Rattus norvegicus: one gene and its partners. The protein of the gene in region 3 interacts with the protein of the main gene of each other region in a pairwise test. Links are inferred from orthologs where the notes say so. Each region holds a gene or a part of one and is shown on either strand. Other genes may lie near its edges. The genes, in order: Ncoa5, Chtop, Khdrbs2, Sdcbp, Prr3, Rbm3 and Hbz.

What was found.
Region 1: the proteins of Khdrbs2 (region 3) and Ncoa5 interact in a two-hybrid assay, tested with the Homo sapiens proteins (2 studies listed by BioGRID). The two-hybrid records come from large-scale screens. The link is inferred for Rattus norvegicus from reciprocal best matches to the Homo sapiens genes KHDRBS2 and NCOA5.
Region 2: the proteins of Khdrbs2 (region 3) and Chtop interact in binary tests that used the Homo sapiens proteins (3 or more experiments, as listed by UniProt). The two-hybrid records come from large-scale screens. The link is inferred for Rattus norvegicus from reciprocal best matches to the Homo sapiens genes KHDRBS2 and CHTOP.
Region 4: the proteins of Khdrbs2 (region 3) and Sdcbp interact in binary tests that used the Homo sapiens proteins (3 or more experiments, as listed by UniProt). The two-hybrid records come from large-scale screens. The link is inferred for Rattus norvegicus from reciprocal best matches to the Homo sapiens genes KHDRBS2 and SDCBP.
Region 5: the proteins of Khdrbs2 (region 3) and Prr3 interact in binary tests that used the Homo sapiens proteins (3 or more experiments, as listed by UniProt). The two-hybrid records come from large-scale screens. The link is inferred for Rattus norvegicus from reciprocal best matches to the Homo sapiens genes KHDRBS2 and PRR3.
Region 6: the proteins of Khdrbs2 (region 3) and Rbm3 interact in binary tests that used the Homo sapiens proteins (3 or more experiments, as listed by UniProt). The link is inferred for Rattus norvegicus from reciprocal best matches to the Homo sapiens genes KHDRBS2 and RBM3.
Region 7: the proteins of Khdrbs2 (region 3) and Hbz interact in binary tests that used the Homo sapiens proteins (3 or more experiments, as listed by UniProt). The two-hybrid records come from large-scale screens. The link is inferred for Rattus norvegicus from reciprocal best matches to the Homo sapiens genes KHDRBS2 and HBZ.

The regions. Positions count from the first base shown.
Region 1 is NC_086021.1:174,157,590-174,161,637, reverse strand, and holds part of Ncoa5 (nuclear receptor coactivator 5), read left to right. Parts: intron 1-2,061; coding exon 2,062-2,261; intron 2,262-3,331; coding exon 3,332-3,652; coding exon of another isoform or gene 3,653-3,675; intron 3,676-4,048. UniProt on the Homo sapiens protein: Nuclear receptor coregulator that can have both coactivator and corepressor functions.
Region 2 is NC_086020.1:178,287,104-178,291,819, forward strand, and holds the start of Chtop (chromatin target of PRMT1 protein), read right to left. Parts: upstream 3,246-4,716; 5' UTR 2,960-3,245; exon of another isoform or gene 2,877-2,959; intron 1,452-2,876; 5' UTR 1,435-1,451; coding exon 1,370-1,434; intron 70-1,369; coding exon 1-69. Other genes in the region: S100a1 (protein S100-A1), read right to left, coding at 4,562-4,705. UniProt on the Homo sapiens protein: Plays an important role in the ligand-dependent activation of estrogen receptor target genes. May play a role in the silencing of fetal globin genes.
Region 3 is NC_086027.1:42,152,252-42,156,299, reverse strand, and holds part of Khdrbs2 (KH domain-containing, RNA-binding, signal transduction-associated protein 2), read right to left. Parts: intron 647-4,048; coding exon 500-646; intron 1-499. UniProt on the Homo sapiens protein: RNA-binding protein that plays a role in the regulation of alternative splicing and influences mRNA splice site selection and exon inclusion. Binds both poly(A) and poly(U) homopolymers. Phosphorylation by PTK6 inhibits its RNA-binding ability.
Region 4 is NC_086023.1:24,300,535-24,304,582, reverse strand, and holds part of Sdcbp (syntenin-1), read right to left. Parts: intron 3,285-4,048; coding exon 3,200-3,284; intron 1,792-3,199; coding exon 1,682-1,791; intron 1,676-1,681; exon of another isoform or gene 1-1,675. UniProt on the Homo sapiens protein: Multifunctional adapter protein involved in diverse array of functions including trafficking of transmembrane proteins, neuro and immunomodulation, exosome biogenesis, and tumorigenesis.
Region 5 is NC_086038.1:2,800,293-2,803,089, reverse strand, and holds part of Prr3 (proline-rich protein 3), read right to left. Parts: exon of another isoform or gene 516-2,797; coding exon 225-515; exon of another isoform or gene 1-224.
Region 6 is NC_086039.1:17,019,496-17,024,104, reverse strand, and holds the start of Rbm3 (RNA-binding protein 3), read right to left. Parts: upstream 3,201-4,609; 5' UTR 3,116-3,200; intron 2,547-3,115; 5' UTR 2,532-2,546; coding exon 2,429-2,531; intron 2,157-2,428; exon of another isoform or gene 2,152-2,156; coding exon 2,045-2,151; intron 1,899-2,044; exon of another isoform or gene 1,733-1,898; coding exon of another isoform or gene 1,634-1,732; intron 1,406-1,633; coding exon 1,300-1,405; intron 1,202-1,299; coding exon 1,108-1,201; intron 763-1,107; coding exon 702-762; 3' UTR 683-701; exon of another isoform or gene 679-682; intron 359-678; 3' UTR 1-358. UniProt on the Homo sapiens protein: Cold-inducible mRNA binding protein that enhances global protein synthesis at both physiological and mild hypothermic temperatures. Reduces the relative abundance of microRNAs, when overexpressed.
Region 7 is NC_086028.1:15,847,658-15,851,406, forward strand, and holds Hbz (hemoglobin subunit zeta), read right to left. Parts: upstream 2,101-3,749; 5' UTR 2,051-2,100; coding exon 1,956-2,050; intron 1,171-1,955; coding exon 966-1,170; intron 861-965; coding exon 732-860; 3' UTR 622-731; downstream 1-621. UniProt on the Homo sapiens protein: The zeta chain is an alpha-type chain of mammalian embryonic hemoglobin.

The DNA of each region.
Region 1 (4,048 bases), on a different chromosome or scaffold from region 3:
CATAATGCACAACGCTGGTTCCATTGAAGAGGCAGAAGAAAAGGACGATGGAGAAGTACACTGGTAAATGAAGTCTGTCCATCCAGAGAACCCTTGTCTCAGAAAACCAAAACACAGAGAAGAGTTTGATAAAATCAAAGCTTCTTTGGGGCAGAAATCCTAGTGATGCAGGGTATCCTCTCCTTAGGATTCACCAGCAATTGGGGATAACAGTGGGCTACACAACCACACGTCAGCAGCTCCTCAATAGCACAGGAGCACCATTGTGGATTCCAAGGAGCTCCTTCTTTTAAGTATTTCCTATGAAATGTTGCATCAAAGCAAAATTTGGAAAGCTATCAGAAAGAATTTGGTCAAAACATGCTTAGAACGTTTTGTTCATTAAACTGGCAGAAGAACCAGAGGGAGCTCAACAGTTACGGACACACAGTGCCTGCCCTGCTGGGGGAGCTGTGTTCAATTCTCAGCGCTGCATGGGGGCTGACCACCTTCTCTAGCTACAGTCCTAGAGGATCCGGTGCCCTCGTCTGGCCTCCTGGGGCACGAGGAGGTACAGGGTACACGGGTGTGTGTGTGCATGTGTGTGTGTGTGTGTGTGTGTGCGTGTGCAGGCATATGAATAGAAACCTTTTAAATGTAATAAACAGACTGGTAGAGGATAAAAAGAACTACAACAAGTTTTATGAGCAGTTTTGAAAACCTCTAAGTCAGAGTGGGTGAAGACCATCCGAGTCAGATGCCTTCATGCTTTTTATGATACCACAAAGTTGTTTCTTGTAAAGATGAGAGTGAAGAAAACTAGAAACACGTGTGTTCGTACAGGAAGCCCTCTGTGCACCATCGCATCAAGCAGTGGCTCAGGAGTGATCTGTATGACAGCTCTTTGATGAGCACTGTGGCCCATAGCCGAAGGATTTTGAGGGGAAGATGTATCAGACTGCTTGGGACTTTGAGAAAATAGATAAACAGGAAGAGAAAACCAGGTTTAAAAACTTAGCAAAATTATGAAAAACATCTTAGGAGAGAGGTCAAAGGTCTTTCGGTGACATCTGCATGCTGCAGTCACTTACGGGCAGACAGCAAATGTGAAAAGAATCTTAAAGGTCTAACACCCGAGAGACAGTTCAGCCTTGGGGACTAGAAGATAGCACAAGACCCCATGTACATATTCCTGATCACTCCTTTTTTGAGACCTTAAGACAGGAAGTAGGCAGAGGCCGTCAGGAGAGGCAATTCTGGAGGACCTGGCTACTTAGCGTCTGGAACTGCACTCCTATCCTGTGACTCGAGTTGGGAAGCTCCCTGGATGCTGTCTAGAAGGCCCTAGAGGATGTTCAGACTCCCTGTTGTTGAGTGTGATCCAACTGCTGACAGTACCAGCACCGTTGTGGCAAGTGTCCTTTGGAGTGACCTCATGGATGACACGTGGAAGCAGCAGGCAGGCGTCACCAGAAGACACTGATACACATGTTCAATGCCCCCTCATTCCTTCTGATAGTATAGTATCTTTTCTGAGCGTGGGGGTTGGGCAGTGTTAAACTTCTGGGTGGCGTGCGAGCGAGGATGGAGCTGCAGTTCCTTCCTTTAAGTGAGACAGATGGCCAGCATCCATGCAAAGCAATGGTACTTTGTCTAGTGTCCAGTTACCTCATGCTGTAACGATTAAATCCTTCTCTGGTAACAGCTTGTTAAGCTAAACTTAGTGGGAAGTACCCTCCGCAGGGCTTGCTTTCCAAAGTAGTAGGGAACAAAATGCTACCTTCCCAAGGTCTAAACAGGCTGGTTGGGAGCAATAGTGTCCAGTCAGAGTCAGCTTTAACAGGTAATGAGATGGGGAGGAGGCAGTTTGAGTACCATCCTACGGCAACTTCCCGTGTGCTCGAAGCACAGTTAAAATTATTTTAGGAAAAAAAAAATTAAAAAAAATTATTTTAGAAACCTGAAGATAGTACTGGGTGGACTTAAGTCTGAGTTCTGAGGAGACATAGCTGGCTGAGGTCCAGAATTACAGATTGAGCCGTGGCCAGGGAGTGCTCACCCAGATCCTGTTTGTTCTCATAGAGATTATGCGGAGTCTGTGGGGAGGAAGGTGCGAGACCTGGGCATGGTTGTGGACCTGATCTTCCTCAACACAGAGGTGTCCCTCTCACAAGCACTGGAGGATGTCAGCAGGGGAGGGTCTCCCTTTGCCATTGTCATCACCCAGCAGCACCAGATTCACCGTTCCTGCACAGTCAACATCATGTTCGGAACTCCACAAGGTACAGAGACCTAAGTAGTCCAAATTCCCAGAGGTAGTCACCAGCACAGATTCTGTGCCCTGCCTGTGAGAAGTGGGTTTTGAGGAATGACTGACATGTTCCAGTTCCAATGTGGCAGCCCCTTCCTTTCCCTTCCTTTGCTGTGGAAAAGACTTTTCATCTTTTCTGTGGTGTTCTCTGATACTGTTCTAGACCTGTTGGCAAACCGTCAACAGCCAGCTATGGTGGAGAGGCAGACTGATTAGTAGTGAGTACAATTTCCAAGTATGAGTAATTCCACCATGCCCCATCTCAAGCCATCAGTGGGACATCACTGAAGGGACCTGGCTCCCAGTGAAGTCTGACTTAGGCATCTGCTGCCTAAAATGCAGCTCCCAGGGATGAGACTCTCACAGACAGGCTGCTGGTTGCCAGTGTGCTAGAAAAGCAAGTAGAGGGGTTATACAGGCAGGAGAGGCTCTTTCCGCTAGAGGAAATCAGCCAGCCATCTGTGCCCTGTCTATGATTCTTAAGCCTAACTTCCCCTTTTCCACCTGCCTGTGCTCTGTTGTCCTGGCTTTCACACCCATAGTCACAGGGTGTGGTAAATTGCTTGTCTCTGAGGAGCTGTCTTTAGCTTGTGTGTAGATGTTCATGTAAGGTTCCAAGACGTGTCCTCAGATAGGACTGTTGCCCCATTGAGGAGAGATGGTTGGTCTTAACCCATGACCTTTGAACTGATGAATTAAAACCATAGTGACTGCCCGGAGCACAGCAGAGAGCCAGGCTTCACACAAGACTCTTGGGCCTCCTGCTGCTGTGTGCTGCTCCCCACGTGGCCTATTTGGCTCTGTGGGAGGCTTTTGTATTCCTTGGGTTTTTACCACAGGTCTGTGATCCACTGAGGAAACAGCTCTGTAGGAAGGTGTGTCCCACACTGAAGAGTGCTGCTCTGTCCCTCAGCCCACCTCACTCTAGGTTCAAGACTTCTTGGCACTGCAGTGCTTCTCTGCTTTGAGACTGAGTGCAGCAGTGAGCACTTGGATGTGTCGTGGGTCTGAGAAAGTGACTGGTGTCGCTCCCTTCTGTAGAGCATCGAAACATGCCCCAGGCAGACGCCATGGTGCTGGTGGCCAGGAACTATGAGCGCTACAAGAACGACTGTCGAGAAAAGGAGCGCGAGGAGATCGCCCGACAGGCGGCCAAGATGGCTAATGACGCCATCCTCCAGGAAAGAGACCGTGGAGGCCCGGAGGAGGGGGGTCGCGGGGGGCACCCTCCAGCTATCCAGAGCCTCATCAACCTCCTGGCAGATAACAGATACCTCACTGCAGAGGAGACTGACAAGATCATCAACTACCTGCGAGAGCGGAAGGAGCGGCTCCTGAGGAGCAGCGCCGACTCTCTGCCTGGTGAGCTACGTGGCAGGGCCGAGGTGAAGTTCTCACTCTGCATTTCTCTCATCCCATGCTCTGTTGGGAGGGTGGCATGCCCAGGGTTCTCCAGGGTGGGCAAGGGACGAGCCGTCCTTTGGCTCTCCCACAATCCATGCACGCTGACGATGCTGGCAGCTATGATCTTGACTCACTGCCGAGCTCTGCTCCCTGGAGTTGAGCTGTTGGGGCGTAATCTAGTATTGCTGGCCTCCTGGGAAGGAGCCGTGATGGATGCCCCTTGTCTGTTTATTTAGGTTCTGTTTTGTTTTTTAAGCAATTTTATTGGGCATTGATTGGGCTGCTTTCTTTGGAATTTGATGTTATTGTCTGTACTGTGTGATTGTTGTGATGTATGATTGCTATTCTTCCTGT
Region 2 (4,716 bases), on a different chromosome or scaffold from region 3:
TGCTGCTGCTGCATCGAAGCCCAAATATTCACTGGCATCGGCTGTTTGTTCTTCAGCATATTAGTAAAGCTTCAAGGTCGAACAAAATGGGTGTTTAAATAAAAGCTTTATTATAAAACACTTATTGGCATTTTCATGGCTTGCTAGACCAGGAGCTCCAGATCCCACGAACTTTAAAGTGGTACATTTGGATCAAGGCTGATGTGGGTTAAAGACTCCTCTGTTTCCACAAACTTGCAAGAACCAGAAACTCAGAAATGCAGCCAAGTGCAGCACAATTAAAAGCGATAACAAGGGCTCAGGTAACATCTCTTAGAGAAGTGGAAAGTATGAAATACACGCATTAAGCAAATATGACAAGAAACAGAGATGCAGTTACAAAGACAAACAGAAATGCCTACACCTTTGGAGACTGAAAGTTCATTCGAAGGACAAACAGGACAAAGGATCAGAGCACCTTCAAAGTCCACTGAAATAACAGAGACACGTGAATTATGGAATGTCATTATATTCTAACATGTTACTCAGTAACACACAAATACAGGTAATTAATATAACACATCTTAAAAGATGAGTAGAGAAACACATGCTTTAGAAGCAAACACAGGCATTAAATGCCTTGGCTGTTCTAGCAACAACATAATAAAATGGTGAAAGACACCAAATAAAATTCTCAGAAACAAAAACTGTCTTTAACTACTTTAACTTTTCTTAAATCTCAAATAACCATTCTTTCTGACTCAGGACTTCTCTGAGAAGGTTAAATTAGTTAAGTCACTTACGAGCCTAAAAGGGCATTCTAACATTCCTGTAATGAATAAGTTTAATGGAAGTAAACACACAGCTGTTGAAAGATTTCAAAACACAACAAACTAAAAAGCAGAATGGGAAGAAAGTGAAATGGAGCAAAGCAAGTGCCTCTTACAAGGCCCAAGAATGACATTCAGGGGCCTTTGGACATAGTTTTGGCTTGCTACCTGCCTCTTACAGGCCAGACACAACACTGCTGGCCTTGGACTAGATAGCAAGCCGAATGCAGCCAGGATATACCATACCATCGTGCTGCACCACCCCTGTATCAATGTTAGGAAAAAAAGAAAAATCGAAGGGAAGGTGTGAGGAGTCTTTTAAAAAAAAATATATCCCACCAGGTCAATATGTCAGATAGCTTAATATAAAAATCTACTGATAAGGGGTTTTGAAACAACTGCCCAATTTGTTTGTACCACATTAGATGCAATCAATTAAGAACAGAAGTCTGTAGCCTTCTGTCATTTAGCTTACAACTGGCTTTTTTGTATTGGACCCCAGGGCCAATTTAAGTAATGTTTTCTTAGGAAGGAGCTGAAGTTGCTGTTGGCTGCCTCACCGCTCATTTAGAGACATCTTGGTGGTGCTTTTTAGCACAACTTTCGGCGCTGACTGTGCAGCCATCTTCAAATCCCGAGAATCTACAAAGGACAATATGCATAATGAGTCAATCAAAATAATGAAGTTTGCATTTTCACAAGAATCGAGGCATAAACCCATGAGAGGCCTATACTACTAACTGCTGAAGATGGTGTCATGAGAACTTAAGTTTGCCATGTGGTGGTGGTGCCCACTTTTAGCCCCAGCACTCCTGAGGCAGTGGTAGGTGGCTCTCTGTGAATTCGAGGCTAGCCAGGTCTACAGAGCAAGTTTAAGGACACAAGCCAAGCTACAGAGAAACCCCATGGGGTGGGGGCTTAAGTTTAGATGACAGTTATTTCCATTTATCAAATTTCAGAGCCCCAGGATGGAGAACATCTGCCAAAGTCAACAAAATGGCAGAATCAGATGTAGCCAAAGCCTAGGAGTTTGGCTTTCAATCTGGAATAGTTCTTAGCCTGGGCTGAATATGATTTAGCTGAGGAATGTTTAAAAAAAAAAAAAAACAAACTAAATTTTTGATGTCTGGATCCAGACAATTAAACTACAATCTGGCCATGACGATGGGGTACAGCAACTGGGGCTAGGGGTGCTACCTACCCAGGTACATCTTACATGTCTACAGAAAGTTGAGGGCCACAAATCTAGAGAAATGGAGGAGCTGGGAATACAGCTCAGCAATAGAGTGCTTGTCTAGCACTGATGAAGCCTTAAGTTCAATTCCCAGCAGCAACAGAGGAGTGGTGTAACAGGCTGAGGACATCAAGGGTTACACTGTCACATTATGAGGCTCCGACTCTCACACACTCAAAAGAAATGCCAAGTTTCAAAACTGATTCTCAACTCCAAATGCAAGTGGAGCTCTAGAAAGACATGGCAGGGGAATGACAGAAAAGGTTTTCTCAATGGGTATTCAATCTGAGAGCTCTGTCAAGAGCAACTCCACAAAATTTAACTGTAGGGGCACATACTGGGAAGGGCTGAGGCAAGAGGGTCACAAGCTAAAGGCGAGCCTAAGTGACTTCTGAGACCCTGTTTCAAACTAAAATTATTATTATTTTTAAAGCTGGGGATATTAACTCTGGGCGCTAGACTAGCCAGAGCATAATTTTGGATTCAATTTCGGTGCCGAAAAAAAACGAACACCCAGAGCCGCCGCTAATTCCTGTATTCCTCATTTAACCTCCACCTCAAAGCCTCTCAAAAGACTTTGGTCAGGCGCTTATTTCCGTTGTTATTCCCATCAAACGCTATTCTGGGGCGAGGCTTGGGCTCTGATGGAGGGCGCTTATCTACATAAGCAAGAGACTAGATTTGGGGCCAAAACCAAACCACCACCACCAACCACCACCACCACACAAGCCAACCAAAACCAGCACCAACAATCCTGCTGGCCCGCTTGCTGGCCGCGGTTCCGGCTTAGCCTCCGCCTCCCGGCTCCGCCCCCTCCCCCGGCCTTTGCTCACCTCAGCCCCATCCGCACCTGCCGTCCGCGCCATGTCCCGCGCCCCCTCGGCGCTCCACCTCTGCTTTCACCACAGAAACTCACCGAAGGAGATGGACGCCAGCGCTCCTCCCGGGGTTGCCACCACGGCTGCGGCGGGCGGGCCGGAGGCCGGCCGAACCCGAGCTGACGGCGGACCGCTCGGGTTAACTAGCTGGGCGGTTGGGTTAGATGCTTAAACGGTAGGTTGCGAGGCTCCCTTGTTGTGGGTTGAGTATTTAGCCGACTGATCCTCCCGCTCGTCAAGCCAGCCTTTTCCTGCCTTTCGTCTGTGCCACCACAGCCGGCGCCGCCAACTCCCGCTTGGTGTCCAAAACAAAATGGCCGCCAGGCCCACCAGTGCAGCGTGACCGGCTAAAATGGCGCCGACGGGCTTGCGTCATTGCGCGCGCAACTAGGGGCGTGGAAAAATGGGCCCTTTGGCTTGCGCAGGAGTCGCAGGCGTATCCCTACGGACTTTGGCAAAGATCCCTTAAGTTACGTGTAGTGCTCCGCCCTTGGGGGCGTGGTCAGTGGTCACAATCGCTAGGTATCTTGACTACCTGCAGGACAAGTTTATGCCCTACTTTGTTTGGGGTTTTGGTTTGCAGAGAGCAGCTTAGATTGGAAGCAGTGTTTATATTCTTTTATTTCCCAAGTTAAAGACCAAAAGTAAAATCTTATTAGGACCTTAGAACCTCGCTGATTTGCTCTGGCCCTCTTCTCATCCCTATTTGTATTGTTTTTTTCTTTTTGAGGCAGGATTTCTCTGTGTAGACCAAACTAGCTTCAAACTCACAAAGATTCATCTTCCCTCCTCACTTTCCCCCTCCCCCCTCACTGTACTGGGATTGAAGATCCACATTGGATTCTGCATCCTTTTATAGGGACTGCTGCTAGAAGATGTGGCTAGTTTTAGGGTGGGTCTTTTCACCTCACATAATACAGTAAAGCAAATCTGTATCCCCACTAATGAACCCCTAATTATTACATAATGTCTAGCATTGATGGTACATCAATAAACAATGAAGCTTGGGAAAAAATTCTTCAGGTTTTTTTTGTTTGCTTGTTTGAGACAGGGTCTCTCTAATGTAGTTCTGGCTGTCCTGGAATTCTCTATACAGACCTGACTGGCCTTGAACTCACAGAAATCCTCTTGCCTTTGCCTCCCAGGTGTTGAGATTAAGTAACCATGGTATCTAATGGTAGAAACCATTTCTAGCTTTCTCCAGGTTTCTTGATGGCTTGTTTCTGTTTTTAGAGACAAGATTTGGGTATGTAGTATGGGCTGGCTTGGAACTCAAAATCTTTCTGCCTCATCCTTCCAAGAGCTGGCATTATTACCAATTATTGATACAAGTCCTTAAAGAGCCAGTAACACTTGGATTTCAGCTAAAATTTTTGGGTCCCTACAATTCTGGGTTTTGAGTGTTCCTTAAGTAAGATCTAGTGTAAACTTTCCAAGATAAGGTGTTGAGAGTGAGTCAGACCCAGAGGACACAGACATTGACAGTTCGTGAGAGAGAAGCTTTATTAAAACTAGTGGCAGATCTGGACTGCTACTGTTGCGCCTTTGGTGCATGTTGAGCCTGGGCAAGGATGGGTACATAGGGAGATACAGGTGGGATGAGGAGCAAAGAGGGAGGGCGCTGCCTACTGAGACTGTGCTCAACTGTTCTCCCAGAAGAAGTTGTTACAAGCCACTGTGAGAGCAGCCACCAGCACAACAAACTCCTGGAAGTCCACTTCCCCATCTCCATTCTCATCCAGTTCCTTCATGATCTTGTCCACAGCATCTGCATCCTTCTGGACCTGTAGAAGGA
Region 3 (4,048 bases):
TGAGCATCCCCCATTATGCTCACACTGCCTAGTGAGTTTATATTTCTAACTTTTTAAGTTGACATTTATCTGCCTTCATTAACATGATCTTATGTGCTATTTTGTATCAGCCAGCACCTGACATACTGTCACATAAAAATCATTAACTATTCTAAAGTACTGTGAATGTTTTATTATAAATAATATTCAATTCCATCCCTTTTTAATTATACCTTTTGTACTAATTATAAATTTTCAAACTACATGTCAAGGGCTCAAAGCAGGGAAATGTGGCATAAATAATGTATCTTTGCTTGTTATTCTTATTATTCTTATTCTTCCTGGCTGTGGACTCGTGTATACTATATAACTGGTTGGTGGTGAATACTTTTGTCGGAATAATCTATGCATAGATAACTAATGTGCAATGTGAAGTCACTTTCAAAAATCAATGGAGATCAAAGACACAACTTAAAATAGAAACTGATAAGGAACCATTTGTAAAATCAAAGTCACTTACAGGAACCAGGAATTTTTTAATCTCTTCCAAAGCATGACTCATCCGTGAGTAAGCTTCCCCGGGTGGAGCAAACACTTCAATTAATACGTGCAGTTCGTCACTCAGGTGGGCATACTTGGCCTCCCCACTCTTCCTCAGCTCTTCTTCCTGTAAAGAAGTTATATTTAGAAATATGGATGCACTCATTTTACATTGATTTAACATTTCCTGAGAATATGACAAAGGGCCATAATCTAAGCAAATTTTCCAAAGGTGGAAAGAAATTCTTTGAGAAATAAAACTTCACTGCAAGTTGGTTAACCATTTTCAAATTTGGATATTTTTTCCCTTTTCATTTTTTATTGGATATTTTTTATTTAATTTCAAATGTTATCTGCTTTCCCCCACCCAACCACCCACTCCTTCTCACCTCACCTGACATTCCTTACACGGGGTGGGGAGGGGAGGTTGTCCCGCCTTGATAGGACAAAGGGCTTTTCTTCCCATTGGTGCCCAACAAGGCCATTCTCTGTTCCATATGTAGCTAGAACCATGGATCTGTCCATGTGTACTCTTTGAATGGTGCTTTAGTCCCTGGGAGCTCTGGTTGGTTGATATTGTTGTTTTTAACGGGGTTACAAATCCCTTCAGCTCCATAATCCTTTCTCTAACTCCTCCAATGGAGACACCATTCTCAGTTCAATGGTTGGCTGCTAACATTTGCCTCTGTATTTGTCATGTTACGGCAGAGCATCTCAGGACACAGCTATATCAGGCTCCTGTCAGCATGCACTTCTTGACATCATCAGTGTTTTCTGAGTTTGGTGGCTGTATATGGATCCTCAGGTGGGGTAGGCTCTGAATGGCTATTCCTTCAGTCTCTGCTCCAAACTTTGTCTCCATGTCTCCTCCTATGACTATTTTTGTTCCCCCTTCTAAGAAGGACTGAAGCATCTGAAGTTTGGTCGTCCTTCTTGTTGAGCTTCATGTGGATTTTGAAGAAACCTGCCATTGTCCTCAACCACACAATTTTTAATCAGTTTGATGAAATGTTAACCTCATGAAGCCAAGGCATCTAAGGGCAGTTTCTGGAATGATGTTTCTGGAAACATCATTGCATTTTTGGGAGAACAAGGTTCTTTCCTGTCTGGTGTAAAGTACTTTTCGAATAATAAGTAGATTTTCATTGAGTTGTACAGGAACATCAGAGTTTTAATATTAGCTGAAATTACATGAAAGAAATGGTGGGAAACAAGGTTTCCTCTTTCAGCCAGTTCCCCCGTTGCCAAAATTATCACAGAGAAAAAAAAGAAAACCAAACAGACTAACAAAAAAGTTAAACCAAACCAATACCGTTAGAATTTCAAATTGAACAAACTTTGCTTAAGAAATAAAGGGGGCTCAAAAGCATCTTTAAAAATAATCCCAGTCAAAGTCATTAGGGAAACAGAAATAAGGTCTAGTTTAAAAGGCCATCTTATTCCAGTTTGAATGGCCATCATTGTGAAGGTAATGCCAACCCTGCATATGTGGATGTGATAAAGGTGGAATGGTTTACACTTTTGATGGGAGTGAAAGCTAGTGTAGCCACTGTAGAATTTAGACCAGAAGTTTCTCAAAAACTAGAAGTGCCATATGGGCCTATACTCCAGGGCATACACGCAAAGACTTTCTATCTTTACAGAGACACTTCAACTGCCACTCTCTTGTCACTAGCTAGAAATGTACCTGACCTAGACATTCATAAACAAGATAAGAATGTAATAGAAATATGATATATATATATATATATATCACTCAGCTGTTATTGGAGACCAAAATAGCCCAATGTTCAGGTAACTGAATAGAACATCAATAGATCCTAATATGCAAAGCCATGAAGGACAAAAAGCAGAGGTTCCCTCTTGTAAGTGGAATTCTCACTTCAGACTTAGTGTTTGGCATGTGTAAGTTGTATCCCAGGCAGAAGCCAGAGAAATTAATAGAAAAAAGTTATTGGCAAGAGACATAAGTGAAGGAAAGGAATAGGAGATTGTAGATCAGGATAACTAAAGAGGTGAATGCTATGTGGGGGTAGAAAGACTCTGGCAGGCAGGAGTATCATCATGTGGAGGAGCTAAGAGGTAGGGAAAATATATATATATATATATATATATATATATATATATATATATATATATATATATATATATATACTATGGAAGAGAAGAGAGGTACCTGCAACTAAAAGACAAAGTTGGGCGAGGGGGCTGGAGCAAGAAGGGAGAGGAAGTTCTTGTTTAGAATAATCAATGTTAAAGATATATTAAAAGGTTTTATGGAAACTCAATGGTTAAGTGGTTCCAAACTACTAAAAAAGGAGGCCAGGGACTGGAGAGATGGTTCACTGATTAATAGCACATACATACATCACAAAACAAAATTATAGGTGTTCAGTGGTACCCTGCATGTGTGGACAGTGTAGTTCCAAGAATGCATGGATTACTTTATAAGATACATTTATTTTTCTTTTATATGTATGTGTGTTTTGTCTGAACAAATGTATATGAAGTTTATGCCTTTTGCCCATGAAGGCCAGTGAAGAGGGTATCGGGTACCCTGAAACTGCAGAAACTGGTGGTTGGGTGCCATTGTGTTCATACTGGATGCTGAACCGAGGTCCTCTTCAAGAGCAGAAAGTGCTCTAACTGCTGAGAACCAGCCTCAGTGTAAGGAGGGTCCTGAGAAGGGGATATGGGAGCAGCGGTGATTCAACAATGACCAGGAGTCAGTTGTGGAAGCATTCAGTCAGCTCAAGGGCTCGCTCTTTACCTGAGGATTCTCATCATTCTTGCCTCTCCTTTCTTCCTTCTCCCTTCTCATCCTTTGCCTTCTCCCTACCAGAGAGACTGAACCCAGATTTTTTTAACCAAACCTACATCATCAAGGTTTGAATATTGTTAAGGATTTTTTTTTTGGAAATCCTTAAATTTACTTAAATTTTATGAATCCCAGAGCCCTGCTTCCTTAAAACAGAAACTAAACTCAAAGCAAAAGCACATTTTCTTATAGTTTTACACAGTCTACTCTTCACAAGTAGCTGGGCACAGCTCTTGAGGTTTCTTGGTACAGCAGACAGCGGTCTTTAGTAATCCCCTTCATGTAAAAACAGAACAGTGATAGACTACTAAGATTAAAATAATCTCTTACAAAATTTTAAAATTTATGCACTTAAAGCATGCAGCTATCTTTAATATCTCCTTCAATCTAAATTGCCATATCCTGTCTTCCAGGAGAACAAAGCACTAACTTTTTATTTGCTTGTGCATCATCTTATAATTCTCCAATCCTTGATTCCTATCCTAGCAAACCCAGAGCTCCATGTACTCTCTTTCTAATAGTATTTATTTCTAGATCATATATAAGCCTTTCTCCTATAAGACAAGCTCACCTATCATTTGCTTGCATTTATAGATTTCTTCTTTTCCTATCCATGACTTTTCATCTTGAGACTCTCGTCCCTTGATGTCCCCAAGTTCACCCTGGCTAATGACTGTAGCAGTCATTGAGGCAGATGGTACAAGCATCTCC
Region 4 (4,048 bases), on a different chromosome or scaffold from region 3:
TTATACTAGAGGAAATATGTCAGAGACAAAAAGCTAGTACAGTGTGATCTTATGTAAACTCTCTCTATACAGTCTCAGCAGGAGGAAGCAGAAGGAAGGCCCTGTTGGGGGTAAGAGCTGGGCAGAGGAGGAGCTCGACAGGGCCAATAAATGAATGGAGGGAAAATGGGAAGGCAGACAAAGTATACAAACTCTCAATAATAAAAATAAGTCTGAAGGAACAGCACAGTAACCATGGCTGTTAATATTTTTACAACTGAAACTTGCTAGTGTTATAACCACATACTAAAAAAGTTGTAACTCTAGGAGGTGATAGTTAGATTGCTTCACTTGATTGTAGAAATATTTCACAATGTACACAAATTGATATGTAATATGCTGTATACTGGTGGAGACTGGTTCTAATGCTTTGATTCAATCAGGAATCTGCATGTCCAAGCACTAAAGGTCCTTGTCCTCAATTGGTTTTTAATCCATCAATAATGATGCCAGCAGCTAACAGATGGACAAAGGGAGACAGGGAAGAACCCTGAGAGTTGCTCAGGCTAGGATACACGGGAGAGAAGAGAGATCACCATGTATAGAAGGATGCGACACAGGAACTACAAGAAAGCAAGCCGAGGGCCGGAGAGATGGCTCAGCAGTTAAGAGCACTGACTGCTCTTCCAGAGGTCATGAGTTCAATTCCCAGCAACCACATGGTGGCTCACAACCATCTGTAATGAGATCTGGTGCCCTCTTCTGGCCTGCAGTCACATATGCAGGCAGAATGCTGAACATAAATAAATAAACCTTAAAAAAAAAAAAAAAAAAAAAAAAAGAAAGCTAGAATACATCCCATGGCACTTGTGTCCATATACATGCAAAATAAATTAAAATTTGAATCTTAAAAAAAAAAAAAAAAGAAAGCAAGCCGATGTGAGAATTCAGGTGAGTGGCCACTTCCCAGACTGGGCTTGGGTAGCAGGGGAAGGTTTGTAGTGCCCAGCCTTCGAGGGAGCCAAGGCATTTTAAAGTTAGCTGGCACGCATATGTGCATGTGTGTGTCTTCCATTAGCAAATCCAAAGAGTTCACTGTACAAATCATAACTAATACAAGGTTTCAATAAATACTGAAATTTCAATATATAAAAGCCAGGTTCTGTACTAAGCAGTAGCAAGAGGACAGAAGTGGATTTAGTCATGAAGCATGTAACTATAATTAGAGCAAAAGCTACATGTTACATTTAAACCTAAAATCTCAGTCTAACTACAAAAAAATGGTTTCTAATTACAAGAGGAGGAATGTTAAGATTGTGGACAAAATAATATGGCAGATATATACTTCAAATAACTAATCTGCCAGGAATGAAATACTGTCTGAAACAAGACTTGCTGTGAGGTCTGTTAAGAAATAACTGTACTAGTTAGTAGGGCTATGTCAGAATTACAAACCTCAGTGTAGTTACACAGCTAGAAAGGATAAAACTAACTTGGAAACATGTCAGGGGAAGGATAAAACGCAGAAGACAAAGGAGAGACAATGACCTAATCAACAGTGGATGACAATGGTCAGAGATGTAGAGTTTAATAATCATAGGAGAGTTCAGCCCCAAAGTTATAAATAGGTGAGTTCCCTACAAATGAGAGTTTATACCTGTATAAAGTACGTTTGATAGATTCAAGCTTATACTGTACATACCCCTTGGGTTGGCGCTCCAGAGACCACAGGCATGTTTTCACATATTTCAGCTTCACTTAAAGACAGTCCCATGTATTGAGAGAGTTCTGGATACAGTTTAGGATAGAGATCTAATATAAACAAAGACAAAGGCATTGGCAGAATATGCAAAATAACAACTTAGTATGGACTTACTGTGTCTTATTTTTCATGCATAAAATGGAAGGACATCTTCCCATCTCTGTCACAATTAGAATGAAAAAGTCCATAACCACTTTAATGCTGAAACAGTCTTAGCCTTCTAACCCAGTGAGTCATCCATTTGTGGCCATGAGGCACTTTGGAACCCACCATAGGCCACACTTGCAGGTGTTCAAGTCCCTCATTTAAGATGGCTCAAGCTAGCCGTGGTGGCAACATGGCTTTAAGCCCAGAGCGCCACTAGTGAGGCAGAAGTAGGAGGACTGCCACAAATCTGAGGCCCTCCATGGCTACATCACAACACCTTAAAGGCTGAAGGTGGTCTCGCCATCAGGAGACCTGTGCAGGTTATCCTGTCTGCTTGACCTCTGCGGGAGACTCACCATATACAATACCACCCAACACTGGCAGCTGCTGCATTTCTCTTAAGAAAAATAAGAAAAAACTGTGTATGATCACAGTACAAATATAGAATTTAGAGACAGAAATAAAAGACACAGAGGGATAACTACTCAAAAGTAAAAAATAATTTTCCAAATAACTGACCTTGCTTGACCTTCTGGGTTTGTAACATAGCCCTAATGCATTAGACGCTGAGGGATCATGGCAGGGACTCCAGTTCACAAGACCCAACATGTTTACTGTTTCAGCTGCTTAACTCTGGATGGGATGGCTCCTCTCACGTAAGAGGAGACACTGCCAGAGCTTGTGATTTACTCTGTCCTACCACTTTAAGAATGATAGGCATATTCCAATGAAATAAGACAAACAGAATTTTTAAACATTAACAATTGTTAACATTTTTTGAAGTGAGCTACTTCCAAAATCTTTTTCTATGATCTGTTTTGACTTCAGAATAGATTTATTACAAAGAATAAAGTTAAGAGAGGGCGACTGAGAAGATGAAAGGCCAGAAACTCTTAAGTTAATCCTTTACTTTGTATCTTAGTGTCTTACAGCGGCTGGGTCCTAGAGCCTTTGGATTCGGGATGGAAAGCAGACAAATTATAGTTTATGGAGTCTGAACAGCAACTCTTAGTTTTGAAAGAAAATTCCCAAAAGAACACAGTTGGAAACTCCCTGAGCTCCCTGGCAAAGTAAGGAAGAGGTAGCTCCGGATGTGTGAGAGAGCGGCAGTTGGGAAAACTGTGGTCCCATGGAGGAGTGTTTCTCACTAATGAATAGACTATGATAAGGATTACGAGGCAAACTAAGCATTTTATTATGCACCCAAACCCATCTTCATACTCATAGATCACTCTTGATTAAACAAGTTAGTCCTTTCATAAACCGAAACGTCCAGACAGAACGCTGGACTCAGTGTCAGGGAAGACTTACTTCCACCTGGAGGGAAGGCAGCAGAATCGACCACATTTAAAAAAAAGGCCTGGCTGGCAGGATTAGCAGAAGAGGCAGTTTGAGCCTGGAAAAGAAAAGAAAATTCTAGCAAATACCAAAAATGCCTACATCTTTCTTATATTATTTACATGTTAATTCTAGTACTTCCCAGAACAAACTAACAACTGAAGTTTTATTCAAAGTTTCACTTGAAACACTTCAGCAATCATTTCCCCCCCAAAGGAAACCTGTAAATTAAAATTCTTAGGAGTACTTCGAACCTGAAGGACACCATCTGCCACATCTTACGGTCAGTGCTTAACAGGGCGCCTGCAAACAAAGTAACCGCACGCTCTTTCTCTCTTGGTGTTTGAGTCAGGCCTCAAACTCATCTGTAGCTGAGTGTCACATTACCATCAACTCTTGCCGCCCTGGCCTCCCCCTCCCAAGTCCCGGGGTGAGAGGCATGTGCCCCTATGCTCAGTTTATTTAATGCTGGGGGTGGACTGAATCCAAGGCTGCATACAGACCAGACAAGCACAGGCTGCTAAGAGCCTGCAATTGAAAGAAGTTCTACAGTTATGTGGTGCTGAATGCAACAGCATAATGGCTACTGTAAAGTAATTTACAAAATATGAACTGCTGTGCTGAAAAGGGCAGACACCAAGAAGGAATGTTGTACTCTTCCGCAGCTTCTTCCCAGGGCATCTCAAGATCAAAAGCACACGCACAGAACACTACCCTGAGTGGCTGGACTTGGAATATCTTAAAATCTTACAGGAACAGAAGAGTCACCCCACTTCCTGCCCCTCCACCATTCCACCTCCTAGCAGCAAGCTCTCTGCTGTA
Region 5 (2,797 bases), on a different chromosome or scaffold from region 3:
CAAGTATTTTGGAAAGACAGTCTTTCTGAGGGAAGAAAAGTGTTCAGGGCTATTGGTACCTCTTGAGGCAGCTAAGAAGCTGGTAGTTCAGCGCTAGAGGACTCCTCAATACAGGTAAGGCCCTGCATTAATTCTCAGTGCTGCTCAGTGAGAGCCTAAAGGAGAAGATTCCCAGGCCTGCTGGTATACAGGCCACGGCACAAACATAACAAAGTGGGCCTTACCTTCCATCATCGGGGGGCTGTCCTTAGGTGGGTAGGTGTTCTTGACAAGAGACCAGCTTTTGAGCCTTCTTGGATTTCTTGGCTCTTGGTAAAAGATTTCCCTAGAAGGACCCCCATGGCCTGGCCCAGGAAAAGGAGGTTCAGTATTGACACCCCACCAACCACGACCGTATGGGCTAGACCGAGGACCAAGGCCTCCCCGAATGTGGCCTCTACCCCGGGGAGGAGGTGGGAGACTCAGCAGTGGTGGAATCATTGGTCCCCTTGATCCTGGAGGACCCCTGTGGAAAACTACAGAGAGAAAGACAGGGAGGTGATTGCTGGGCAGAAGCCCCTCAGTCCTGACAAAAGCCCCTCCCCTGCTCACTACATACAGCAAAGCTCTCTGACACACCGCTTTTTTTTTTTTTTTTTTTGGTTCTTTTTTTCGGAGCTGGGGACCGAACCCAGGGCCTTGTGCTTCCTAGGTAAGCGCTCTACCACTGAGCTAAATCCCCAGCCCCTGACACACCGCTTTTAAGTACGCAAACCAACTACTACCTCTTCCCCTGGGTTTCTATTGCCCATACACAGAGATACGCTTTCTTGGCGCTTTTTAGCCCCTGGTGTGGGGAACTGAACCTAGGACCTTGTATATACTAGGCAACTGACTACTCTTTATTACTGAGCTAAATCTCCAGCCTCAGAAAAGCCATCCTTCTATATGGCCTTTCCTCTCCTGGAAAGTTGCCACCATCCTGACTTCTAACATGACAGGTTGTGGATCTTCCTGGCTCTAACTCTGGGCTCTTCTGATAATCATGAGAGTCAACTTGTCTGGGCCAGTAGTAGATGATTTTTTAAATTTAAAAGTATAGTATCCAGGCTGGAGAGATGGCTCAGCGGTTAAGAGCACCCAACTATTCTTCCAGAGGTCCTGAGTTCAATTCCCAGCAACCACATGGTGGCTCACAACCATCTGTAAAGAGATCTGATGCCCTCTTCTGGTGTATCTGAAGACAGCTACAGTGTACTTATATATAATAAATGAATAAATCTTTAAAAAAAAAAAAAGTATAGCATCCTATTACACGGACTTATGTGCTCTACTGAGGATGGACATGTGGGTATTAAGTGTGTGGCCACAATAAACAATGCTACGAACATTTCTTTTTTTTTTTTTTGCTTCTTTTTTTCACAGCTGGGGACCGAACCCAGGGCCTTGCGCTTCCTAGGTAAGCGCTCTACCACTGAGCTAAATCCCCAGCCCCGCTACGAACATTTCTATGTGTAGTATAAGTTTCTGTTCAGACTACATGTGGCAGAGGAATTGCTCAGTAAGAACAGTGTAATCAATTTTAATCTTAACTTTTAATTTAATTTTAATCTTAGTGGTGTATCAACTTATACAGCCCCCTCAGAGGTGGCGGGCGCTACAGCTTCCAAGCATTCCAAGGGTCAGCCTTTCTCATTCGGTTCATTTGTTGTATGTGAGAAACAAGAATATGTATGCTCACATATCACATGCGTGTGGTGTCCTTGCAGACCAAAAAAGGGTGTTGGAACTAGCCCTGTCTGCTGCCTACTTCCACTAGACCGTGGGCCGCTGAAAATGAACCTCGGGTCCTCTCTAACAGCAATCCACTTATATTTAGCCTGAAGAAATAGATTTCTAAAACTTTAGATCTCATATGTGGGTGTTAGGGATGTGTGTACAGGTATCGTGCTGCATGTGTGACAGAGAGACAAGTCGTTGAGTTTGGATCCTGTACTACTTGGGGCCAAGGATTAAAGTCAGGTTGTCAGGCTTGGGGGCAGGCACTTTTACCTGTAGAGCCATCTTGTCAGCCTGACTCACCTCAACTATTAAGTGTAAGATTCAATACTGTAAGTAACTGTTGGGAAACAGAATCCCAGGGCCCTGTACTGTAAACCAGAGACCAAACAGAAACCTCTAACCACCCCTTTCTTTACATCTCTAACAGCCCTAGTAACTCACACCCTGATTGTTCTGTGAGTCTGACTCCCGACAGCTCATGTGTTTACCCTCATGTGCCCATTTTCTTAATACAGTGTGCTCAGGCCCACCCATGATGCGGCACTAATGCCATTTTCTTCCTTTTAAGACAAAACAATATTCCACTGAGTGCATATATTTTGTTAGATTGATGGCACCCTGGGCTACATAACAAATCCAAAAAGACAAGCCTGGTGTTGCCTAATCCAAGAAGTTGGAAAGCAGAGGCAGGCAGATTCTCTCTGCATGCCAGTCTGGTCTGGTCTGTATCGTGAGTTCCCAACAGCCAAGGCTACACAACGAGGCCCTGTTGCTAATAAATAAATAAATTAACCAAAACCCAACAAAGTCGAACAAAAACTCAAATCTCCAAAGACTATGCTTTCATTTCTTGTAACTATAAACCCAGAAGTGGAGCTGGACTTATTTGCTTTCTTAAATAGGTCTCTATGTAGCCTCATGATACCATAATTCTCCTGCCTCACCCTCCAAAATTGTGGACATAGGCTACTGTGCTTGGTCTTAATTTTCTTTTAGTATAGAATAGAGTTTATTCAGGACATGGGGAGGGGAGTCA
Region 6 (4,609 bases), on a different chromosome or scaffold from region 3:
CATTTACAAATTTTTAATGTCCCAAAATACACATTAATTTAAAAAACTTGATTTATCCTGGCCACTTTTTTCTCTTGGCCAGCAACAATAATCCTGAGTGCCTCAACAAAAATTCTGATAAAAGGAAAAATATTGGGACCGTTAACAAATGTCTTAAAATTTGTCTTTAAAAGGGGGAAAAGTGTTTAAAGAACACATGGAGCTTTCTTAAAGTTCTTTAACAAACTACCTTGGGAGCTCAATTCAAAAATAGAACTTGATGTACTAAAACAGACGTTTCAGCGCAGCTCCAAAAATCTTTATAAATACAGCAATTTGCAAGGACGATCCTGGATCAGAAGTGTTATTCCTTGTGTATCTGAGAACAGTAAGAACGGTACAATTTTGATGTCAGGAAGAAACAGGCTGATAACATGCTAACCTCCCAGAGTTGATAAAGACGCAGCACACCAGACCTCTTTTATTTCCACCATTCCCCTAGAGATTACTTTCAGAACATCCCCCACCCCTGCAACTAGTTCTGGCATGCATACGATAGCAAGAGCAGGGGAGTGGAGGCTGACAGATTGGCTGGAAGGCAGCAGAGATAAAGGGCAGTGTGGTGAGAAAAAAAGCAAAAGGGAAGAGAAGAGGACCTGATGAACACAGATTGACAAAGTGCCAATATTCAGGTCTCACCTACATTGTGTGCATGCCCCATCTCAGTTGTCATAATTGTCTCTGTAATTTCCTCCTGAGTAGCGGTCATAGCCACCCTGGCTTCTGGGAAAAAGCGATGTTGTTTTACAAAAATGTACCCTACTTTGTATACGTTACATATTAAAAACTATACACGTCAAATTTCATAATAGTGTGTTCACAATATAAATTTTAGCTAGTTTTTGTGATAATGGAAATTATATCCATGAGGTTGGCACATGGTGGGCACAGGCAATTGACCTTTGATATATCCAGCCACACAAAACTTTCAAAAATGTATAAACAGACCACATCAAACATATGAGCCTCATGTAAACTTCCCATTTCCAGCTAAACTATGTATGAGTATTAGGCTACTGAATTCTTAAGAACACTGGTACCTCACTATCCCAACCTCTTAGTACCCACCTGCCACTGTAGTCTCTAGACCGCCCATACCCATATCCATAGCCTCCAGGTCGGCTGTCGTATCTTCCACTTCCATATCCCTGGTCTCCACCACCTGCAGAAAAACATTGAAGTAACAGCTGTTCAGACATACGCACCTAACAAATTAGACGGCTCTACCTAAAGTCATAATCAAACCATGACTGCACTTACCTCTAGAGTAGCTGCGACCACGCCCATGGGCCCCAAAGGCACCCCCTCTGGTTCCCCTGGCAGACTTGCCTGCATGGTCCACACGGATTTGGCGCCCATCCAGGGACTAGGTATGGGAAGGAGACAGATACAAGGAAGTGTTGTCAGTCAGTCAATGTAGTGATGAGGGAAGAATGGGCATAGGCAGGTAGGCAAAAGCCCAGAAATTCTTGCTGGGCACCAAAATCTGGGTGCCATGACCAAGACAAGCTCCTCTGACCAAAATGGCTTCACCAGGAGCTACAGAATCCCACAAAAGGACCTGAATCCACCGTGCTCCCCTGCTACTACTTACATCTTGACTGAACTCAGGCTGAGTTCTCCTCCCCACTCCTCTAAGCTGCCCGACTATTAGGGCTAGACGCCTCTCTTGGTTTGAGGCTTCAGAGTCCATCCCAGCAGACTCACGAGGTCCTCTCCGGGCCAGGCCCACAGGTCTGCAGACTCTACTACCTAAGCCCAGAGCAGGTCAACCATCCACAGGTGGCTTCTCGGCCTCATGCAGGACCAGTCGTCGCCTCCCAGGCAGCCCGGCTCTGTCTGCCGCTGCCCTCCACCCCCTAGAACAGAAGGCAGTCATGCTCCTGTGAGTGGACACTGCGGGGCTTCTTGGCCACGCTGCCCCTGGCAGACATAGAGGGAAAACAGAAAGAACGAAGAAAGTGGCAGACAGGGAGAAGGCCCCTCTGCAGGCAGGAGGCCTCACCTCTCCATTCATGGCTCTCATGGCATCGGAGGCATGCTCTGGGTTTGTGAAGGTGATGAAGCCAAAACCCCGGGATCTTTGAGTCTCCCGGTCCTTGACAACAACCACTGGGGAGGGTGGGGGAGAGGCAGAAATACATATGTTAGAACATTAAAGTGGAAGGCAATAGCCTGCCAAGCAAACCAGGCACAGGCACAGCCACAGCAGCACACATCAAATAGCGCCCCCACCAACTCCTCCTCCCCCAGAAAAAAATCCCGTATCCCATTGTATTTTTCTCAGCCTAACTGTACCTCACAGACGCGGAAGGCAGAATTTCAGGTTTTAGTCCTAGACTCACTCTTACCCACCAACCCTCAACCTGGGGGCTGATCCATGGCTCACCCTCAGAGATAGGCCCGAAGCTGCTGAAGTGGTCTTCAAGTGCCTGCTCATCAGTGTTGAAGTTGAGCCCTCCCACGAAGAGTTTTCCTTCTTCAGAAGACATGGCAGAATCCAAGTCCTAGAGGGAGAGTGTAAGGAATTTTGGGGGGTCGATGTGGCAAGTGGTGAGGTGTAAAACACTCGGAGACAGAATTACGGGGAAACACAGAGAGTGAGGAAAAAAATAATTCAAATAGCAAGGGGCTCGGGAGCAGAAAAGGCGGGAATCAGCAAGGCCGGGTGAGCCCATCCGCCATTTGATGATTACTACCGCGCATGCCTACAACATCTCAGGCCGCCACGCCCGTCATTTTGTATGGTCGCGCAGGCCTACAGCAGCATTGCATTTCCTCTTTCCCCGCAGAACAAGATGGCGGCGGTCACGTGGGAAGAGACAGCCGATATAGGTTGGCGCATGGTCCCTACCACCGCCGCCGACCCGGCCCGTGCCTTCCGGCATCCCTCCCGTTCAGATGCAGCACACCAGCCTCACAATTAAGAGATTTTTGCCTTCGAGCCTGGAACTAACCGACCTCGGAGCTCAAGCCTACATGTCGGCGGCCACTATTCCTACTCTCTCGTCCCTCGCCCCTGAAGGGCAAGGAAGTGAGGTGGGGGATGATCACTGGGCAAGATAAACGCACTTACCTGGAAATTAAAAGTCAGAAGACTGCAGAGACGACGAGCTCTAAGGAACCGGGAGAACAGAGAGACTGCGGCGCGGGAAGACGCCTGATAAAGTGTGCGTAGCGGTGACGACACAGGACGTCCCCCAGCGCGCCCTGGCGTGCGTGCTCATTGGTTGAGGCCAGCGGCGGGGGCTGGGAAGAGGGCGAGGAAGGCGGAGGCAGCAATTTGCCTTACCTCTTCCGGGAATACAGAGGAACTTTATAAGTTTAGTGTGTTCTCATGCTAGCGTCTCTATTCTGGCTGAAAGACTGACCCCCCTTTCCATCTCAAACGGTTGAATCCATATAGCCTTTTTCTCCCTGACGTCATTTTCAGTGTCTTTGACGTCATTTCTCCCTTTCCATAGGAAGTCTTAATTGACAGTAGATCGGTGCCAACGAACTGCCATCCTCAGAAACCAATCTTCTTTTCTTTTAGGACTTTAACCGCATATCCCTTAAGGGTCCAAGACCTTCAGCGTTCTTCATGTCAGACCTTTCATTTCCAAACGCTTAGCGCCTATCCCTAACATCTAGTCGTGAGCTATGGGACTCCTTCCCTTAGGTCATCCTCTGACTTAAGCTCGCATCCTTATCTGACAGTCTCTTTAAACCTGATATGCGTTCAGCAATACAGGTATCCTAGCTTCAAAGGGTGCAAATCCAAATCCACAAAATGAATTTTGCTCTCTATTTAGGATACTGGCCCTTGAGTCAAAGGATGAACTTTTGCAATACATAATGGAATCCAAAGCAAGTAGTGTCTAAGTCCACCGTCTGACAATTGGATCTTTCCCAGCCTTCAGTGTTTAATAATAAACAAGTGTTTGCTTCCATGGACTCCACATTTTTCGCTCCTAGAATTAATTTGTTTAATATTGACATTGTAAAGGCCTGTCCCTGACTCCCCCCACCAACCTCACCACAGATTTGCTAATCTTCAGATGCTATTCATCTACAATTCCTGCTAAGCTTATTTCCATATTCTCAGTGATTTTCATGGACTTTCAGGTTATTAAATTTTATAAGTAGTTATCTTTAGTTGAATACATTTATTTTTGTTCTAATCTTTTCTCACCCTATGGTCTATACCTCACTGTATGTTCAGGCTACTTTGGAACTCATAAACCTTTTGCCTTAGCCTCTTCAGTGCTGGAATCTCCACAACCAACTTGTCTATATTTTTAAAGAAATCCCCCCCCCGGTGCCCCAAGTTCCCAAAATTCTCTTCTGCAACTTATATCTGTTAGCTGCATAGTTCTGCTTTTAGTTTAAGGTCCTCAATCCTTGTATAGTGTTCAGCTCAGTGGTAGAGTGCCTTCCCGGTATGTGTAAGTCCCTTGGCTTATATCCCAACAAAGAGGAGTGCTGTGTTCGGTTTTACTGTGCCATTGAACCAGATGTCTCATCACCATCTATCAGGAAACTGAGGCAGGATTGTGAATTTAAGGCTTTAACAGGTTCCAGGCTAACT
Region 7 (3,749 bases), on a different chromosome or scaffold from region 3:
GCATGTCTGCAGAGACATGCCTAGAGAGAGGCCAAAGGATGGGGCTTCTGTCATAGACTCAGTCTTGCGTATGCCTTCCCTTTGAACTCGCAGAAGCTGTAATTACTCCTATGAAGGCAGTTACTGGAAAATTGTTATCCTTTAGGGACAGGCACACCCCCTACCTGCTTGGGGGGCAGAGTTGTGAAGTTGTAACATCGGACTTTAAAGAATTCCTGACATCCAGCCACCACACTGTGTGAAGCGATTTGGGAAGATGAGGAGAACTCCAGCTGCAGCTGTGACTGTGGGGTGCTCTGCTTCCTGCCTGCTCTGACTCTGGGGTTCTCAAGATCCTCCCCCAAACACCTTAGGAATGTCTTCTTTTTTTTTTTTTTTTTTTTTTTTTTTTTAATGTAAAGCTTTATTTTTTTTTTTTTTTTTTTTTGGTTCTTTTTTTCGGAGCTGGGGACCGAACCCAGGGCCTTGCGCTTCCTAGGCAAGCGCTCTACCACTGAGCTAAATCCCCAACCCAGGAATGTCTTCTAGTCCGTGTTTAACTATAGTGTTCCTGCCAACCCCCGGTGCATCCTGTAGCATCCCCATCCCTGTTTCCCTCTGAGACTGAATACACAGGACCAGTTATTTCTTTCGTCAACCATTTATTGGGGATTCTGGGAAAGACCTCAGGGAGGGTTCAATGAAGGGGAGGAAAGAGGTCATAGCTGGTCTTGGACTCGCGGCGATGGCACTTAGCGGTACTTCTCAGTCAGGACAGAAGACAGGATGGACATGAACTTGTCCCAAGCTTCGTGGACCTCAGGGGTAAAGTCGGCGGGGAAGTGTGCAGCCAGTGTGACCAGCAGACAGTGAGACAGGAGCTGCGGAGGGAAGGGAAGTTCAGTGCTCAGTGCAGCAGAGACCCAGCCCACTTTTCCCCTTGTCTCTTTCTCTGCTGACCTCTCCCTCCATTCTCACAAACTCACCTTGAAGTTGACCGGGTCCACACGCAGGATGTAGGCGTGTAGCTCGCTCAACTTAGTCAAAGCACCAGAGAGGTTGTCGATGTTCTTAACCGCATCACCCACAGCGGCCAAGATCTTGGAGCCGTGGGCACGCAACTGCTGAGACCCATGGTGCAGGTCGAAGTGTGGGAAGTAGGTCTTCGTCTGGGGGTAGCTGCTGAAGAGCCTGGGGGGGGGTCGGGAGAAAGCGTTAGTTTTACAAGTGTTGGTTAGGGGAGGCTAACCAGGCTCTTGCCTTGGGCTCAAAATTCAAGGTGTACACAATTTAAAAGACCTACGAGACAGAAAACAAAATAGTATTTTACACAGTGTTTAAGGAAACGAAAAAAAAAAGTACGTTGAATAATACAAAAAGCATCTGGAGAGAAGGCTCAATGGTTAAGAGTATTTACCGCCCTGAAAAGAGCTCACAGCTAACTCTCTGTAACCAAGGTGCAAGGGGATCTGATGCCTCCACTAGCACCTATTCTCTCTCTCTCTCTCTCTCTCTCTCTCTCTCTCTCTCTCTCTCTCTCTCTCACACACACACACACACACATACACAGAGTAAATAAATCTTTTCAAAACAGCCCCAAGAATGATGTTTCTATTTCCTGTTATCCAAGGCTTCATGTGGCTAGGCCCTGTATCTCCTCTCTGTCTGTAGCTGGTTCATTCATCCATTCATTCCTATTCATTCAACAAATACCTGAGGAGCCACATGGAAGACTCTGAGGTCTGTGGTTACCAGTCCACCTCTTCTAGCAGCTTGTCTGCCTGCCCGGACCCCCTCCCCAAGAGCATGGAACTCACGGTCCTCTCTACATTTTTTTCTCTTTGCTTCTGTCCTTAAGGTCCTGACCACACCTCATGACCTCTCTTCAATGACTTCTCACTGTCTTCTCCTTGTCATTTTGGTCTTACCCGTCCCTCTTCTGACCCATTTACTCAAGCCGTGGTGCCTGGACTTACCTCTCCAGAGTCTCAGTGCCAATGGGCTCTGCATGAGGCGCCATTTTGTCCCACATGGACATGATGATAGCTCTCTCATTCTTCATCAGAGACATGGTGGCGGCGGTAAAGGCTGGAGGCTGTGCTAGAGCTGAATGAACTCAAGATTGGCCTGATGGTGCTCGGCCACAGTGTCTCCTTATATACACATGGTCAGGGGCCTGTCAGGCCATTGGTTAGGAGAGGGGAGGGGGCTTGCAGGGTGGAGCCTGTTATCAGAGCCAGCAACAATGGGAATCAGGGCCTGGTGGGACTGTGAGGGCAAGTGCTATCGTCCCTGCCCAACCCCCCATGGCCTTAGGAGGGGTGTTGGAGTACCACACAGAATCCAGGAGAGATAGGGGCCCAGCCATGTCAGGAGGTCCCTTCCTGTGTCCAGATCTGCACTGTCCTTCCTCATTTCAGAATCACAAAATTGTCTGTGCCATCCCTGTCACCTAGTTTCTGTGACTCTTGGGTTCCCTCCAGGGAAGCAATAGTCCCTCTCACTCACTCAGCACCGAGGGAAGATCATGGAAGTCCGCTCCCACCAGGAGGAAGGGACGGGTCAACAAAAGAAAACGGTCTTCAGCATAGCCCTCCATTCCAACCAGTTTCCAACAAAACGCACGACTCTTTTAGTTTGACCTGCGGTTGGGTTGCTTTGTTCACTGTCCTGGATCCACACAGATGTAGTTCCACCATTGCCACAGCCTCCACAGCCACCCATTTGAGGCCTCCTCTTCCTCTTGCTCCTAACCCAAGCCACACTAATTCATCGTTTCAAAAAAAAAAAAAAATGCGCCCAACTGGAACCAGACGGCGTTGTATTCTTTTAAGACTGGCTTTCTTTCCCCTCGCACAACGTTCTGCAAACTCGTCGGCTCCCGCGTTTATTGGCAGTGGGCTATTTTTCATTTCGTGGTGTGAATATACAGCAGTTTATCCTCCGTCCACATCCCGAGAGAGGTCTCTGAGTGAGCACAGAACTCCTTTCCTCTACACCCGTTTCTGTAGATTCATCTGTATCTGACGGCAGAAGTCCTGGGAAATGCAAAGTGTACATTTAACTTTATAAGGAGTTTGACACACTGCTTTCACGAGTGTCTTTACTGTCCTATACTCCTATGTATCAACAACAGCGTCTTCGAATCCTAGCTGTTTGACAGGTAAATAGCAATATAGCATTGTGGCTGAAAACTGCGTTTTTCCAATGGCCAGTGATGGAAGATCTGTGTGCCTGTTTGCCACAAGCTTACTGCTCAAGCATTTTGCCTACCTATAAAAGGTACCTTGTACACGTTTCAGCTGGGCCATTTTCTTAACTAGTGGTTTATGGGCATTCTGAATGTGATCTGGATGCATTATTTTTCGGGTTGGGGGAGGGTCAGATATGCTTTTTTTGCAAATACTTCTAGGTTTTCATTTCCCAGTTCGTCTTTAACTTTTTTTCATGTATCATTTGTTTTGTGTGTGAAGGGCTCACGTGTGCTCATGTGTGGAGGCCAGAGGATGACTACCTCACACTGTTAAGCCTGGTTTTACGTGCCTGTACCCACTATGGCATCCTACCCAGCCCTCAGTTCATTTTAACAGTATTTTTTTTTTTAAACAGAGTCAATGTTTTAATTTGGATCAAGTCGAATTAATCAAGCTTCTACTTAGTACTCATTCTTTGGGGGTGGACTTAGTATTCTTTGGGGGTGGACTTAGTGGTGAATGATTTTTTTTTTTTTTTTTGGTTCTTTTTTTCGGAGCTGGGGACCGAACCCAGGG